Oryctolagus cuniculus: one gene and its partners. The protein of the gene in region 3 binds, or shares a complex with, the protein of the main gene of each other region. Links are inferred from orthologs where the notes say so. Each region holds a gene or a part of one and is shown on either strand. Other genes may lie near its edges.

Region 1 (4,442 bases), on a different chromosome or scaffold from region 3:
AAGTCAAGGAAATCTGCTCATACTTCAGGCCCTTCTCCTCCCGGGACCAACTGCATAGAAGAAAAAAAAAAAAGAAAAAACGAGTTGATTAATGAAAACATCACTGTACCTACAAACCCTGCCTGCCACATGCTCCTCACCAACCAAGGCCACTCACCCTTCCTCATTTTCTCCAGGTCATCAATATCTGTTTCCAGTTCCCAGTACCACCAATTAATACTTAGTGTCTCAACAATGATTCCTAACCAAGCAAAAGTAAAAAGCCCAGCAAACTAATCCTTAGGCCTAACACCTTCTCAAGAGCTTGGCTTTAGGGCCCTGACTACCAGACAATCTCTTTCCCACCCTAAGCACCACCAAGCCACGGCATGAGTGAAGCAACCGGCAACATTACTAGTTAGGTCTGTAAGCCCTGTCCCACAGAAACAGTTTTAACGTGTCTTACCATTGTTATATTATTTCCATTTAGCAAAATCTGATCTAATTTAGTGATCCTTCTTCCTTCCGGTGTGATTTCACTAAATGAAGTGATAAAACAGAAAGTCAGGATAAATGGTGGTAACCAAAGGCAGCATTTTAGAAACACCTTCTCTCTCTAAAAAGGTAATGTTTGTATAAACGAAAGTTCAGCAATTATAAAGGTGATTTTCAGAGATAAAAGTTATCCACTGGGTAATGTACACTCTTCATCAAAAGCAAGAGTAGACCAATGGATATAAATAAGATCCATAGCCAAGGGGGCTGGCACTGTGGCTCAGCAAGTTAAACTGCTGCCTGCAGTGCTGCATCCCATACAGGCACTGGTTTGAGTCCTGGCTGCTCCACTTCCAGTCCAGCTCCCTGCTGATGTGCCTGGGGAGGCAACAGAGGGTGGACCAAGTGCTTGAACCCCTGAACAGATGTGGGAGACCTGGGGAAAGCTCATGGCTCCTGGCTTCAGCCTGGCCCAGCCCTGGCATTGCAGCCCTTTGGGGGAGTAAACCAGCGAATGGAGGATCTCCCTCCTTCCCTCTCTTTCTTTCTCTCTGTAACCTGGCTTTTGAATAAATAAAGCTTTAAAAAAGATTCACAGCCATGAGACTTATCTTCAAAAAAAAAAAAAAAAAAGGTGGAACCTGCCAAGATCAAATATAAAATATTTAGTAGACTCACTCTTTAACATTTTGTATTACTACTGATTTCTACCCACTAAACTACTATGTAACTAATACTTATCACTTACATTTTACATTATATAGTTAAATGTTTTCATCATCAGGTCCTTGATATGACCTGAGCCTTAAAATCCCTGCACGTTAACATCTGTTACCTTCAAGCTTTGTCTCCACTAATTTCCTAGCAATTCAGCAACAATTACATAACTTTTACAAGCATTAGTAAATAAAAGTTGCCTCTACTTCCATTTTGCTGACTAAACAGTACTTAAAATGTCCTGAATTTGAAAAAGAGCCGAGTTCTGTCATTTTTAGCACTACTCACAATTCAGTGACATCTTCCAATACCATATCTGAAAGGTGGTGTTAAGGAAATAAACACTCCAGGTTGAAACAACTCTGGTTTCTGCTTTCATTCAGTTGTAATGATAATATTTAACACAAAGGCTCATAATAAAAAGGCTGACTGTTGGTAGGAATGTGACCTTCTTCCAGTATACTCACCTCTGAAAACACCATCACAAGTGCCCTGAGATGAACTGACTTTTATCGTTAACACCCAGAAACACACTGTCTACGGTTCTGTTATTAAATAAACAGGAAAAAGCCACAGCACCACGTTTTAAAAGGATACTGACGAAGTCATCGAAGCCAAGAAGGGTGCCAACAATTTCCTTATCACTCTTCATCACAATGTGAATTCTGGATCCTATACATTTATCCACAAGCTCTGCGTGAGCAAAAAGATTATTTTACCCATTCATCATTTTAGCACATACTCGAGTGCACGCTGGCATTTGTTACTTGCCAAATTCAGTGAAAATTAAACTAGGAAGAACATCCCCCTTTGGTAACCTCGGATCTTAAAATGCAAACCTCTGCGCTCCCACTACTTAATCAGAAGCCTTTCCACTTCTCCTTTCTGTGCAGCAATCTATCATGATTGTGGCTTTATCTTTATTCCAGATCACGTGATTAATTTAGGGACACAAACACATCCCCCCAGACTCTTAAGCGCCACGAGCCCGGACACTGTGCTCATTTTCGCCCATCGCTGGATCTTCAGTGGACAGGGACGGGCATTTACGGGGCTTTCCACGAGCCTAATCACTGAAGTCCGTCAACGCAACCACTCCTCGCCGGCTACACAATGTCAGAGGCCGCTGACCGTCGTCGCGGGAGCCTCCTGTCACCTCCTCCCTCGCCAGTGAAGCCCCGCGGTGCTGGGGGCAGCTTCAGCACCTCTGGCCAGCCTGGCACGGGGGGCACAAGGTTTACTTGTCCAGTACTGTCTCCTCCACTGGCTTGTGTACCCTTCGGGAGCGATGGCTGTGGTTTAAGGTCGCTGTGGACTAGCACGCAGGAAGAACACGGGCTCTTACTGAATGGATGGATGAATGAATGAATGAATGGCAAACAGGGCTAGTTTCCAGATTCCTCCTCTAAGGCTCGTTCCACAGCGCGCTGCTTCCCGCTCAACTCCCAGACACACAACAGGGTGAACCCCATCTGGGGATCCCAAATGCCACTCCGGACACGGCGCCGCAGCGCTCCCAACAAACACGGCCGACGGTGCGCTCGCCCAGTGCGGCCCTCTCCCGCCCACGGTTCGTTCCGGGGGAGTCCGAGGAGCTGCCTCCAGGGGCAGGAGCACGTTACATCGCAGCAGCGGCCTGGCGCGCAGGAGCTCGGGAGCCGGCGCGAGCCGCGGAGGGGAAACGCTCGGCCCCACACATAGGCCCGCTACCAGCCAGGGGTGCCTCGGCCGCAACCCCGCGGCCCCCAGTCCTGAACCCCAGCCTCCCGCCCCAGCTCCCTCACAGGAAAACCATTACCTAGCGGCAGCAGCTGCGAGGGGTTCGTAGTAGCGTTAGCCGCCATGGCTACGCCGGAAGTGGCCTGCGTCCATCGACGTTCCACGGTGACTTTAAAAGAGCGCGCCTGCGCCTTTGCCCGCGGCCGGGCAGGCTCGACCAATCGCAGGCCGAGCGGGCGGCCGGCGTGCTCCACGTGGGCGGCGCCCGCGCGCTGCCTTGCTGGGGAGTGGGAGTCCTGGGGTGCTGCCCTGCAGATTCGTTCCCAGGCTTCGGAGAGACGCTGAAGATTGCTAACCTCCTGAAGGAGTTCGTCCTCCGACCGAGAGGACAGCGCATAAGGAAACTTTTGGCTTGTTTTCCCATAAAATTGTCTTTATAAAGACTAGTAAAAATCAGTATTTCCCGCCACCAATTCACTCTTTGACAGAGTTACAGTGAGAGAGACAGAGAGAGGTCTTCCGTCCGCTGGTTCACTCCCCAAATGGCCCCAACGGCCGGAGCTGGGCCGATCCGAAGCCAGGAGCCAGGAGCCTTCCCTGGGTCTCCCACGCCGGTGCAGGGGCCCAAGGACTTGGACCATCTTCCACTGCTATCCCAGGCCATAGCAGAGAGCTGGATCGGAAGAGGAGCATCTGGGAATACAACTGGTGCCCTTATGGGATGCCAGCACTGCAGGCGGAGGATTAACCTAGTGTGCCACAGCACCGGCCCCAAAAACATTCCTTTTCTTGAGGCTTCTGTCCCGGTTGCTCCTCTTCCAGTCCAGCTCTCTGCTGTGGCCAGGGAGTGCAGTGGAGTATGGCCCAAGTGCTTGGGCCCTGCACCAGCATGGGAGACCAGGAGAAGCACCTGGCTCCTGGCTTCAGATCAGCGTGGTGCACCTGCCGCAGTGCGCTGGCAGCAGCGGCCATTAAGGGGTGAACCAACGGATAAAGGAAGACCTTTCTCTGTCTCTCTCTCTCACTGTCCACTCTGCCTGTCAAAAAAAAAAAAAAAAAAAAGTAAAAGAGGGGCCAGCGCTGTGGCGTAGCAGGTAAAGGCTGCCTACAATGCCGACATCCCATATGGACTCCGGTTCAAGACCAACTGCTCCTCTTCCAATCCAGCTCTCTGCTGTGGCCTGGGAAAGCAGTAGAAGATGGCCCAAGTCCTTGGGCCCTGCACCTTTGTGGGAGACCTGGAAGAAGCTCCTGGCTCCTGGGTTCGGATCAGCACAGCTCCAACCCTTGTGGTCATCTGGGGAGTGAACCAGTGGATAGTGCCTCTTCCTCTCTGTAGTTCTGCCTTTCAAATAAATAAGTAAATCTTTTTTTTTCAAAATGGTTTACACATTTTTTTTTAAATGTAAAATTTTGTTTTATACTGAGGATTTATAATAGCTTTTTCCTTTTAACTTGTTGCTACTTTCTTAATTTATCATCCTTGCTGTATCTAAAACTCTGTAGTTTATTGAAAGCTTATTTACTACTTA
Region 2 (4,676 bases), on a different chromosome or scaffold from region 3:
ATGTGCTGACACTCTGGAAAATAATGCTATAAAAAATACTTGATGGTGCTGCAGCATAGCAGGTAAAGCCGCCACCTGCAGTGCCAGCATCCCATGTGGGCGCCGGTTTGAGTCCCGGCTGCTCCACTTCTGATCCAGCTCTCTGCTATGGCCTGGGAAAGCAGTAGAAGATGGCCCAAGTGCTCAGGCCCCTGCATCCATGTGGGAGACCCAGAAGAAGCTCTTGGCTTTGGCTTGGCTCAGCTCCGGCCATTGCGGCCATTTGGGAAGTGAACCAGCAGATGGAAGCTATCTCTCCCACTCTTTCGCTGTAACTCTGCCTTTCAAATAAATCTTTTTGTTTTAAATTTACCTGACTATGTAAAAAGCAGTGCTTTGAGAAAGACACCACGTTAGAAAGTTGCTCTATCATTTATTAGCAGAGCAATATTCAGTAGATGAGTCCTTTAACCACATTCTCCCTCTTTCCTGGATGCCGAGACTATCACCAAACTCATTTACCTCACTAGGCAGCTGCAGTAATCAAACATGACCCCTCTTCTAAGAAAAAGAGCACACAGGTTTCTGCTCACTGTGTGGGGTGGTGGGGGTGGGAGGGTAATGGCCCTGAACCTGAAGAATTCTGCTGAAGGTGGTAACACCATTTCTCTCAAACAGGCCCCAAAACATGGGAGAGGCTGGCACTGTGGTGTAGCAGGGGAAGCCACTGCCTGCAACACTGGAATCCCATACGGGCACCGGTTCAAGTCCCAGCTACTTCACTTCTGAGCCTGCTAATGCACCTGGGAAAGCAGTAGAAGATGGCCCAAGTGCTTGGGTCCCTGTACGTGGGAGTCCTGGGAGAAGCTCCCGGCTCCCAGTTTCAGATCAGCCCAGATCCAACCACTGTGGCCATTTGGGGGAGTGAACCAGTAGATGGAAGATCTCTCCCTCTCTTTCTCTGCCTTTCAAATAAATAATAAATCTTTAAAATGGGGAGTTGGGAGGGGACAATTATGGGATGGAGAAGGCAAAGGCCAAAGTTAACTATTCCAAATCTCCATACGGTTCTTTGCCCCAGTACTGTCTCTTGCTCAGGCCCACAGTCCCGGAGCCCGCGGCAGCGCCTGCCACACGTCGGGCACAATGGAGACGCCGCCAGCCTCCCGTACCTGGCAGTTCATGTTGTCTTCTGCCTCGATGAGCTTGCCCCGATACACCTCGCCGGTGTTGGTCTCGCAGGTCACGATGTGGCCCTCGGCCTCGTGCAGGACTTTGATCGGCACACCGATGGACATCTCGGCAGGAGGAGAGTGCTGTGGTGGGAGACACAGCAGTGAGCCCAGCCTTCAGAGCCAGAGGCCGCGTGTGGTGCGCACCATGTCTCCCCAAGGCCTGGACCCCATAAAACCTAACACCGGTGCCAAAGCTGCATTTTCTACACAAGAGCAGCTCAGCTCCTGGCTTGGAGGAGCCTTCCTGGCAAATACACACAATATGAAGAGGGGAGAGACAGCGTGCTGGACAGAAGGAAAGCTCACGGAAAGGAAAAGAATCTCCCACCTACCTCCCTACTCCTCACCTGCTCCCATGTCCCTTTACCTAGAGACAGAGTAAGGGACACAGATACAGATACAGAGAGAGAGAGAGAGAGATCTTCCATCCGCTGGGCCACTCCCCAAATGGCTGCAAAGCCTGGAACTGCATCTGGGTCTCCCTATGTGGGTGGCAAGGGGCTCAAACCTCAGGCCATTATCTGCTGCCTCCCAGGAGCACTGGCAGGGAGTTGGATAGGAAATGGAGCAGCTGAGAATCAGCCTGGCACTCTCACGTGGGTGCCAGCGTCACAGGTGGCAGCTTAACCAGCTGCCCCACAACACTGGCCCCTCATGTCCCTTTTCCTTGGCCAAGATAACCAGTGACCAATGTGGTCTGTGTGTTGGGAGAGAGGCGCTCGGAACGTCCATGCTGAGCAACACATCTGCCTATCCACAGCTGTGGGTGACTGCATCCTGAAAACCACGATGGGGTGCAGCGGGTACACCGGCATCCCACAGGGGCACTGGTTCAAGTCCCGGCTGTCTACTGCCACTCCAGATCTCTGCTGATAGCCTGGGAAAGCAGGAGAGGATGGGCCAAATGCTTGGGCCCCTGAACCTGTGGGAGACCGGGGAGAAGATCCTGACTCTGGCCTGGCCCCCAGCTCCAGCCGTTGCAGTCATTTGAGGGAGTGAACCAGGGGATGGAAGATCTCTCTCTCTGCCTGCCCCCGACCCCGACTGTGTAACTCTGCCTTTCAGATAAATGAATCTTACAAACAAACCAACCAACCAGAGGACCCAGACATATCCAGGAGAGGAGGCTGTGTTTTTATTTCAGCCTCTGACTTTCCATTCGCTTTACTGTTAAAGCTAAAGAGAAAACAGCAAAGCGGTCACAAAGGGACAACGTGTAGGAAACTGCTTATCTTGGAGGAAAAACACAAGGATCTGCCGACGTAGTTGAGAGACAAGCAGTGGAGTTTTTATTGAGCCAGGTAAGGACGCAAGGCTGGCACGAAATAAGGGAGAACACGACAGGGCAGCCAGGCTCGCTCCGTGAGGATCCCCAGCCCTCCGCCGCCAGAGCTGGAATGTTACGTTTCAGAGAGCACGGAACCAGCGCGGGATCTCAAGGAAGGAACGACCCAATGGAAAGGTATCAGCGTTTACAGGCCAAATCGAACACACAGTTCAGAAGCAGAGGAACTTCGGAAAACGCTTTTGCAATGGCGTGGAAAGCACGAGGGGCTGCATCAGCGCCGGAAAAGGGGGCTGGAGGCCAAGGATGACGCCGATGGAGTTCAGGGACGAGGCTAAGCAGCCAGAAACGAGGGGGAGGTAACGAACTCACTCCCCAGGCTCAGGCGAGGCGACGCGGGTGTCTGGGTGTCCCGGCTTCCCGCTTCCTTCCCTCCCGGAGCCCTGCGCGGTTCCTTGCAGCGCGTCCTGCCCCAGCCCCCGATCCCTCACGAGCGCCTAGGCCTCCCCTTTCCCGTCCCCGGCCCCTACTCACCGGCTCGAGCCCCTTCTTCCTCCTCTTCGGTGCTGCGACAACAACTGCGAGAGAGAAGGCGTGAGCGGGGCGAATGGCGGGCCTTGCACTCCCAGAATACCACGCGCTCCCAGAATGCCGCGCGCGGGGACCGTCCCAGAGCGCGAGCTCGTCTCCGCTTCCTCCTTACTCCGCCGGCTGGGAAACGCGGACCCAGGTACGATAGTTCCGGCGCCGGAAGAGAGGGCTGATGACAGGGCCCGGGGGCCGCCGGAAGCCCCGACGCGGGGGCCCGAAACGGGAGAGGGGGGCTTGCGCTTCCAAGCACCCCTCACAAAAGACTGGCTGGACGACAAGGAGGGGATCTACAGCCTGGGTCCTCGGATCCGGGGCAGCAGGAAGTGGGAATGAGGGCTGGGACCTCCCCTCACAATTTAATCTTTGGAACCCGGCACTGCCAGGTAACGGGAACTCTCAGAGAGGGGAGGTGTCGTGTCTGGACAGAGAAACTGAGGTACCAAGTGGAGCAGGGGCCGGCTCAGCACTAAAGAGATCAGAGTACGGTTGCCTGGACCCTAGGCAATCACAGGGCCGGAGCCGGCTTACAGCTGAAGCCGGCAAAGGGGTGGGGCCTGGCAGAGGCGGGGCTTGCTGAGGGAAAGAGCCCCTGGGGAGCCAGTGTTTGCGCTGCGCCGAGCCCTCGGGGAGGGGCTCAGAAGGGGCGGAGCTTCCGGGGGACCGAGCGAAGGAAGGGCCCGCGCGTCTGCGCGAGGATTCGGTAAGGGGGCGGAGCTACCAGAAACCGAGACTGTGAATGGCCAGGCCGGGCTTAAATCATGAGGCTGGAAGCCTCTAGGAATCGAAGTCTGGGACTGGGAAGGGGCGGGGATTAGGGGAGGGGCGGGGCCTCCGGATCCAAGACCTGGAGTGGCTGGGGCGGGGCTTGGGGCTGCCCGGCCGCCGCCTCCGCTTCTCCCCGCTGTGGCGGTGGCGGCGGCGGCTACGGCGTTCGACACGCATTGGCTGCGCTCCTGCGCCAGCTGAAGCCGAAGCTGCAGCCCGCAGCGGGCCGGGGCCATGGGCGCCCCGTGCTGCGCGGGTCATGAGGACGGAGGCGGAGGCAGCGGGGCCGCCGCTCGAGCCGGGTCAGTGCCTCTCTCTGAGGGCCCAGCCCTCAGCCCCGGGGAATGAGGGGGACCCCGCCCTAGCGCGGAGCAGGGTCCATCCGCGCGCGTCCCTGGCCGTCTCTGCCCAGGCTGTGGAGCTGTAGCGAAATCATGGCCAGGTGGACACCCTTGCCTCGGGCTCTTCTCCCTTCCCCCAGCCTCTGGTCAGCTGGGGTTTCCTGATACTAACAGGGCAGGGACCCCAGTCAGCTGTGCTGGCGGTCACGTGGGAGGGCCCCGGGTGGAGAGGGTGCCAACTACGCAAAAGTCCTCCTGTAGCCGCCTTGGGAGAGTCCGCTCTCTTGGGGGAACTGAACCTGGGTGGGCAGGGACCTGGGTGGGCCCTTCCCTTAGCTTGCAGGACGTAGCTAGTCTTGTTTGCTTGCTACGGTTACCATTCTCTGGTTCCTTCTGCCCCAAGGTAACCTGAGCCCCTCTGGGCTGGAGCCTGAGAATACCGCTCAGTGCCCTGGGCCTCAGTTTGCTTGTCCAAGAAGT
Region 3 (4,627 bases):
AGAATCCGGTGCCCCAACTGGGACTAGAACCCGGGGTGCTGGCGCGGCAGGCGGAGGATTAGCCTAGTGAGCCACGGCGCCAGCCCCCCTTCACATCTTTAAAAGGCAAATACTTTCTCCAAGAACCATCCTCATACTTTAAAGCAGAAACAAATACATTCCATTTGATTTTTAACCCTAACTCAGTAGTTATCAAAGGATCAATGAGGGCTGGTGTTGTGGTTAAGCCTCCACCTGTGACACTGGCATCCCATATAGTCGCTGGTTCGAGACCTGGCTGCTGCACTTCCAATCCCACTCCCTGCTAATGGGTCTGGGAAAGTAGCAGAGGATGGCCCAAGTGCTTGGGCCCCTTCACCAACATGGGAGACCCAGAAGAAGCTCCTGGCTCCTGGCTTCAGCCTGGCCCAGCCTGGCCCAGCCCCAGCCATTGTGGCCATTTGGGAAGTGAACCAGTGGATGGAAGATCTCTTTCTCTCTCTTTCTCCTTTTCTCTCTCTCTGCCTTTCAAATAAATAAAAAAAATGAATCTTAGAAAAAAAAAATCAATGAAACCTGTGGAAGAAACAAACTCTAAAAATTACTTCTAGCTTCCTTTTGAGCAAATCAATAAAGACTGGCATATAACATTAAAACAAGACTAGGGTAGGGGCAGGAGTTTGGTGTGGTGGCTTGGGACACCCATGTGTTCGTCAAGTCCCAGCTCTACTTCCAATCCCAGGGGATGATGGCTCAAGGATTTGGGTCCCTGTCATCCACATGAGACCTCAATTGAGTTTTAGGCTCCTGGCTTTGGCCTGGCCCAGCCCCAGCTACAGTGGGCATTTTGGAAATGAACTAGCAAATGGACGATCTCTGTCTCTATGGTTTTTTTTCTGCCTTTCAAATAAAAATAAATAAATGAATTTAAAACAAGACTAAAGGGCAGGTGTTTGCTGTAGTAGGTAAGACCCTGCTTGCAGGGCAGGTATTGTGTGCTACAGCAGGTTAAGTCACTGCTTGAGACATCTGCATCCTGTATCAGAGCACCAGTTTGAGTCCCAAATACTCCCCTTCCAATAACAGCCCTTTGCAACATGCCTGGAAAGCAGCAGATGATGGCTCAAGTGCTTGAGTTCTTGCCACCCACATGAGAGACCTGGATGAAGTTCTTGGCTCCTGGATTCAGTGGTGGCCCAGCCCCAGCCCCTGCTTTTGTGACATTTAGGGAGTGAACGAGTGGATTCAGAAGATCTTTCTGTCAGTCTGCCTTTCAAATAAATAAATGAATCTCTAAAGAAAGAAAGAAAAAGACAAGACCAGCTTGGAATGCCTGGGTTTGAGTCCTGGCTCCACTCTTCATTCCAGCTTCCTGATAACTGCACATTTTGGTAGGTTGCAGGTGATGGCTTGAGTACTTGGACCCCTACCATGCACTTGAGTCCATTCTCCAAATGCCCACAATAGTCAGGACTGGACCACACCAAAGCCAGGGGCCAGGAGCTCTATCCAAGGTGCCCACACGGGTCTCAAAGACCCAAGTACTTGAGCCATCATCTACTGCCTCCCAAGATACGCAACAGCAAGGTGGACTGGAAGCAGGGGCGAGACTCAAACACAGGCACTCCAGTATGGCACACACATGTCTCAAGCGGCAGCTTAAGCTACTGCAGGACAGCACAGTGCAAATTCTCCATTGCATTCTACAGGATCTCTGTGAGAAGTCGTGATGAAAGTACTCTCTCAGCTTGGGAAAAAAAAATGCCCTCACTTTAGATGTTCTCTTCTCAATCCCTTTTTACCTGTACCCTACTTTTTAATTCATCACAGAAAATAGTATTATAAAGGACTCTCCCACACAAATCTTTGTATTCAATGCAAGTTAGTATAAAATGTCACCATTAATCATGTCTATATTTTAATCTAATCCCTAACTCTCCAAATTCCTCAGGAGCACAAAGATTTTATTTCTAATGTTCTTCACAGTGCCTAACAGATGGTCAATAAATGGTACAGACCCCTACTCCCAAGCTAATCCCATCATTCACAAGCCCTTGGGCAAATTAATTCCCATAAGCCCCTGTTTACTCAAATACTAAGTGTCAAGCAATGTAGAAGGTGCTGATACAAACAGCAGAGAACAAAATACAATCACCCTGGCTGTAACAAGGGCCTACATTCCACGAAAACTCCATCACAGGCCAGAAAGAGTAAGCAATTTGAAAACCAAAGCAATAAACGGAAGAATCTTTATTTTCAGATGAAATGTGTGCCCAAGCGCTGTACTAACAAAAGTGTATTCAAGTTCAACCTAATTCCCTCTGAGATGTTAAAAAAAAAAAAAAAGTTTCCAACAGCAGCCTTTGCTACTGACCCAATGCTCCATAATAACGGCTGGTGGGAGTGGGGGCGGGGAGAGCTGGCGTGCAGAAAGGGAGGCAGGCAGAATGACTGCTCAATGAGCAGGCAGCAGAATCCAATCTTCTTAAAGGATTCCCTACTCTACGCTCTCCTTTGCTGCAACCCGAGTGCTCCCAGGAGCCCCCCTCCTCCTGTTTTTACTCTCGCTCTCTCTCTCACCGGCCTCCTCCCTCACCTTGTTCTGTCCAAACTCCTCACCCCAGAGCTGCTCTCCCCAGCCTGTCCCCGTCCCGCCCCCGCCCTTTTCCTCTCAACAATCTCATTCCAATCCGTTCTCTCCCGAACCGTGTGCTTCTCTCAGCATCCTTCCCGCTGGACCCTTCACCCTGTTCCTCCCCTCGGACTCAGCCCCGGCCCCAGCCGCTCCGACGGGAAGACACCCTCCCCGGGCCCGGGGCCACTACTCACCTCACAAACTTCAGCCCCTGAGACGGAGCCCGAACGTTACACCGGAACCGGAAACCTTCTGACCGCCCTACGGCCTGCCGTCGCTACCGCCACGGCCGCCGCCACGCTGCGGTCCCCTGACACGTGACCAGGGAGGGGGCGGGCCGTCGATTTGCGCAGCCGCAGTTGCCGCTCTGGCGACAGCGGAGCGCATGCGTGGCACAGCCCTAAGGTTTCCCCGTCCAAGTTGCTGCTGGCCTTCGGTTTCTACAGGGAAAAAAGATTACGAAGTTGGCGTAACTTTAGGTGGTTTTCAGTTTAAAAAAAAACGCAAACAAAACAATTTTTAGTTTTCTTCGTGTGGCGGATAAACGCTCTAAAGTTACAGGACTAAAAGGAGGACTTGTTTGTGCGTGCTGAAACGTGGCCTTTCTGGTAGAAAGTAAACCCTCTCGGAGTCCTGATCATCAGCTTTAGTCGCCCCCCAGCCTTTTCTAAGTTAACAGTGGGACCGGAGGTCATTCAGGAACAAGACAAGGGTAGGAAGACTCAAGCAAGTAGCTTCTAATACCTTTTTATTGTTAGATTCATTCATTGACGGAACAAATCTTTATCAACTGCCTACTAATGTGTGCTGGCCACTTGAGAGTATTGCTTTAGTGATTGTCGCGAATGCCTGCTGTCACGCAGCTCGACAGGGCTTAAGGGCGAGGTGTCGGAGCACAGGGAGGAAGGAACACATGGACACAAGATTGTCTTTCCAATGAAAGGTTTTTATTGCCCACACAATTTCACACTAGGGCTTGACCACTCTGCATACCAATCTACATTGTTATATTCAGTACTCCACAGATCATAACACACACCTAGCAGTCTCAAAGGCAATCCAACTATAATAATATAAGCACATAACATTATTCTTAATCACAGGGTCAAGGCACATGCCTTCATATTACACACGGCTAATATCATTATAAGTGCTGCGTCCTCAAGGGTCGTATCACGGTCACCAAAAGTCAAAGTCCAAAGTCCAGAGTTCAAAGTCTTCGTTACCACTCGGAGAGATGGATCTCAGGACAGTCAGTTACAGGCAGGAAGTTTGGGGATGGCTGTCACTCTGGGCAGTAGGTTCAGAGGGCAAGGCAAGGAGTTGGAGAGGTCCCCTGCTGAGAGGTCTGGTGTTGGTCTGGCAGCAGCCAATAACGGGTCCGGGTGAGGCGGCCAGGCAGCGGCTCCGCTGGAGTTTGGTCCCGTAATCGCCTTGCGTCACTTAGCAAGGGTGCTAGCAAGCTGGCTCTTCAGCTCCAGATGTGTGGAGATCCAGAGGTTCACACACATCGGGCCATGATCCTCGAGAGCGGTGGAAAAGGCTCTCCTTTATCCTTGCCACTCTGAAGGGGGAGTCTCCAGTAGGGGTCCGGGTGTCACCAATCAGTTGTGCTCCCTCTTGGAGTTTCCCGGGGTGCCACCCATCCGTTGTTTGGGACAGGGCGTATCTGGAGTATTCCTTGGGTGCGGTCACTCACAATGTGAGTAGGAAGGAAACTTGAGGTTATCGTCCGTAGCACACGTTATCAGGCTGCCCAGGGATGTCTGTTCAGTCTGATGAGGAGCATCTTTCTGGCAAGCCCTGAGCTTGACATAAGTGATGTCATCATTTTCTGGCTTAGCATAAGTAACTCCATTTTTATTTCTTGCTTTTACTTCTTTGTGGACAGCAGTGAGCTATAACCATAACTCTTTTTAGGGGTTACCAGTGGATTTCTCCATGGTCCACCTCCTTTTGATCAATGGGTAAGCGGTGATCTGTGATTTTTGGGACTCCTGTGGGATTCCCCAC

What was found.
Region 1: PRPF3 (region 3) and LSM5 share a complex: the UniProt entries of both Homo sapiens proteins name them as parts of the precatalytic spliceosome. The link is inferred for Oryctolagus cuniculus from reciprocal best matches to the Homo sapiens genes PRPF3 and LSM5.
Region 2: PRPF3 (region 3) and SNRPD3 share a complex: the UniProt entries of both Homo sapiens proteins name them as parts of the U4/U6-U5 tri-snRNP complex. The link is inferred for Oryctolagus cuniculus from reciprocal best matches to the Homo sapiens genes PRPF3 and SNRPD3.

Annotation. Positions count from the first base shown.
Region 1 is NC_091447.1:23,532,718-23,537,159, forward strand, and holds the start of LSM5 (U6 snRNA-associated Sm-like protein LSm5), read right to left. Parts: upstream 3,148-4,442; 5' UTR 3,036-3,147; coding exon 2,990-3,035; intron 1,885-2,989; coding exon 1,789-1,884; intron 1,508-1,788; coding exon 1,480-1,507; intron 519-1,479; coding exon 446-518; intron 51-445; coding exon 18-50; 3' UTR 1-17. UniProt on the Homo sapiens protein: Plays a role in pre-mRNA splicing as component of the U4/U6-U5 tri-snRNP complex that is involved in spliceosome assembly, and as component of the precatalytic spliceosome (spliceosome B complex).
Region 2 is NC_091452.1:31,112,008-31,116,683, forward strand, and holds the start of SNRPD3 (small nuclear ribonucleoprotein Sm D3), read right to left. Parts: upstream 3,148-4,676; 5' UTR 3,034-3,147; intron 1,296-3,033; 5' UTR 1,278-1,295; coding exon 1,152-1,277; intron 1-1,151. Other genes in the region: protein GUCD1, read left to right, coding at 3,263-3,473. UniProt on the Homo sapiens protein: Plays a role in pre-mRNA splicing as a core component of the spliceosomal U1, U2, U4 and U5 small nuclear ribonucleoproteins (snRNPs), the building blocks of the spliceosome.
Region 3 is NC_091438.1:47,654,497-47,659,123, forward strand, and holds the start of PRPF3 (U4/U6 small nuclear ribonucleoprotein Prp3), read right to left. Parts: upstream 2,949-4,627; 5' UTR 2,809-2,948; intron 1,273-2,808; exon of another isoform or gene 1,081-1,272; intron 1-1,080. UniProt on the Homo sapiens protein: Plays a role in pre-mRNA splicing as component of the U4/U6-U5 tri-snRNP complex that is involved in spliceosome assembly, and as component of the precatalytic spliceosome (spliceosome B complex).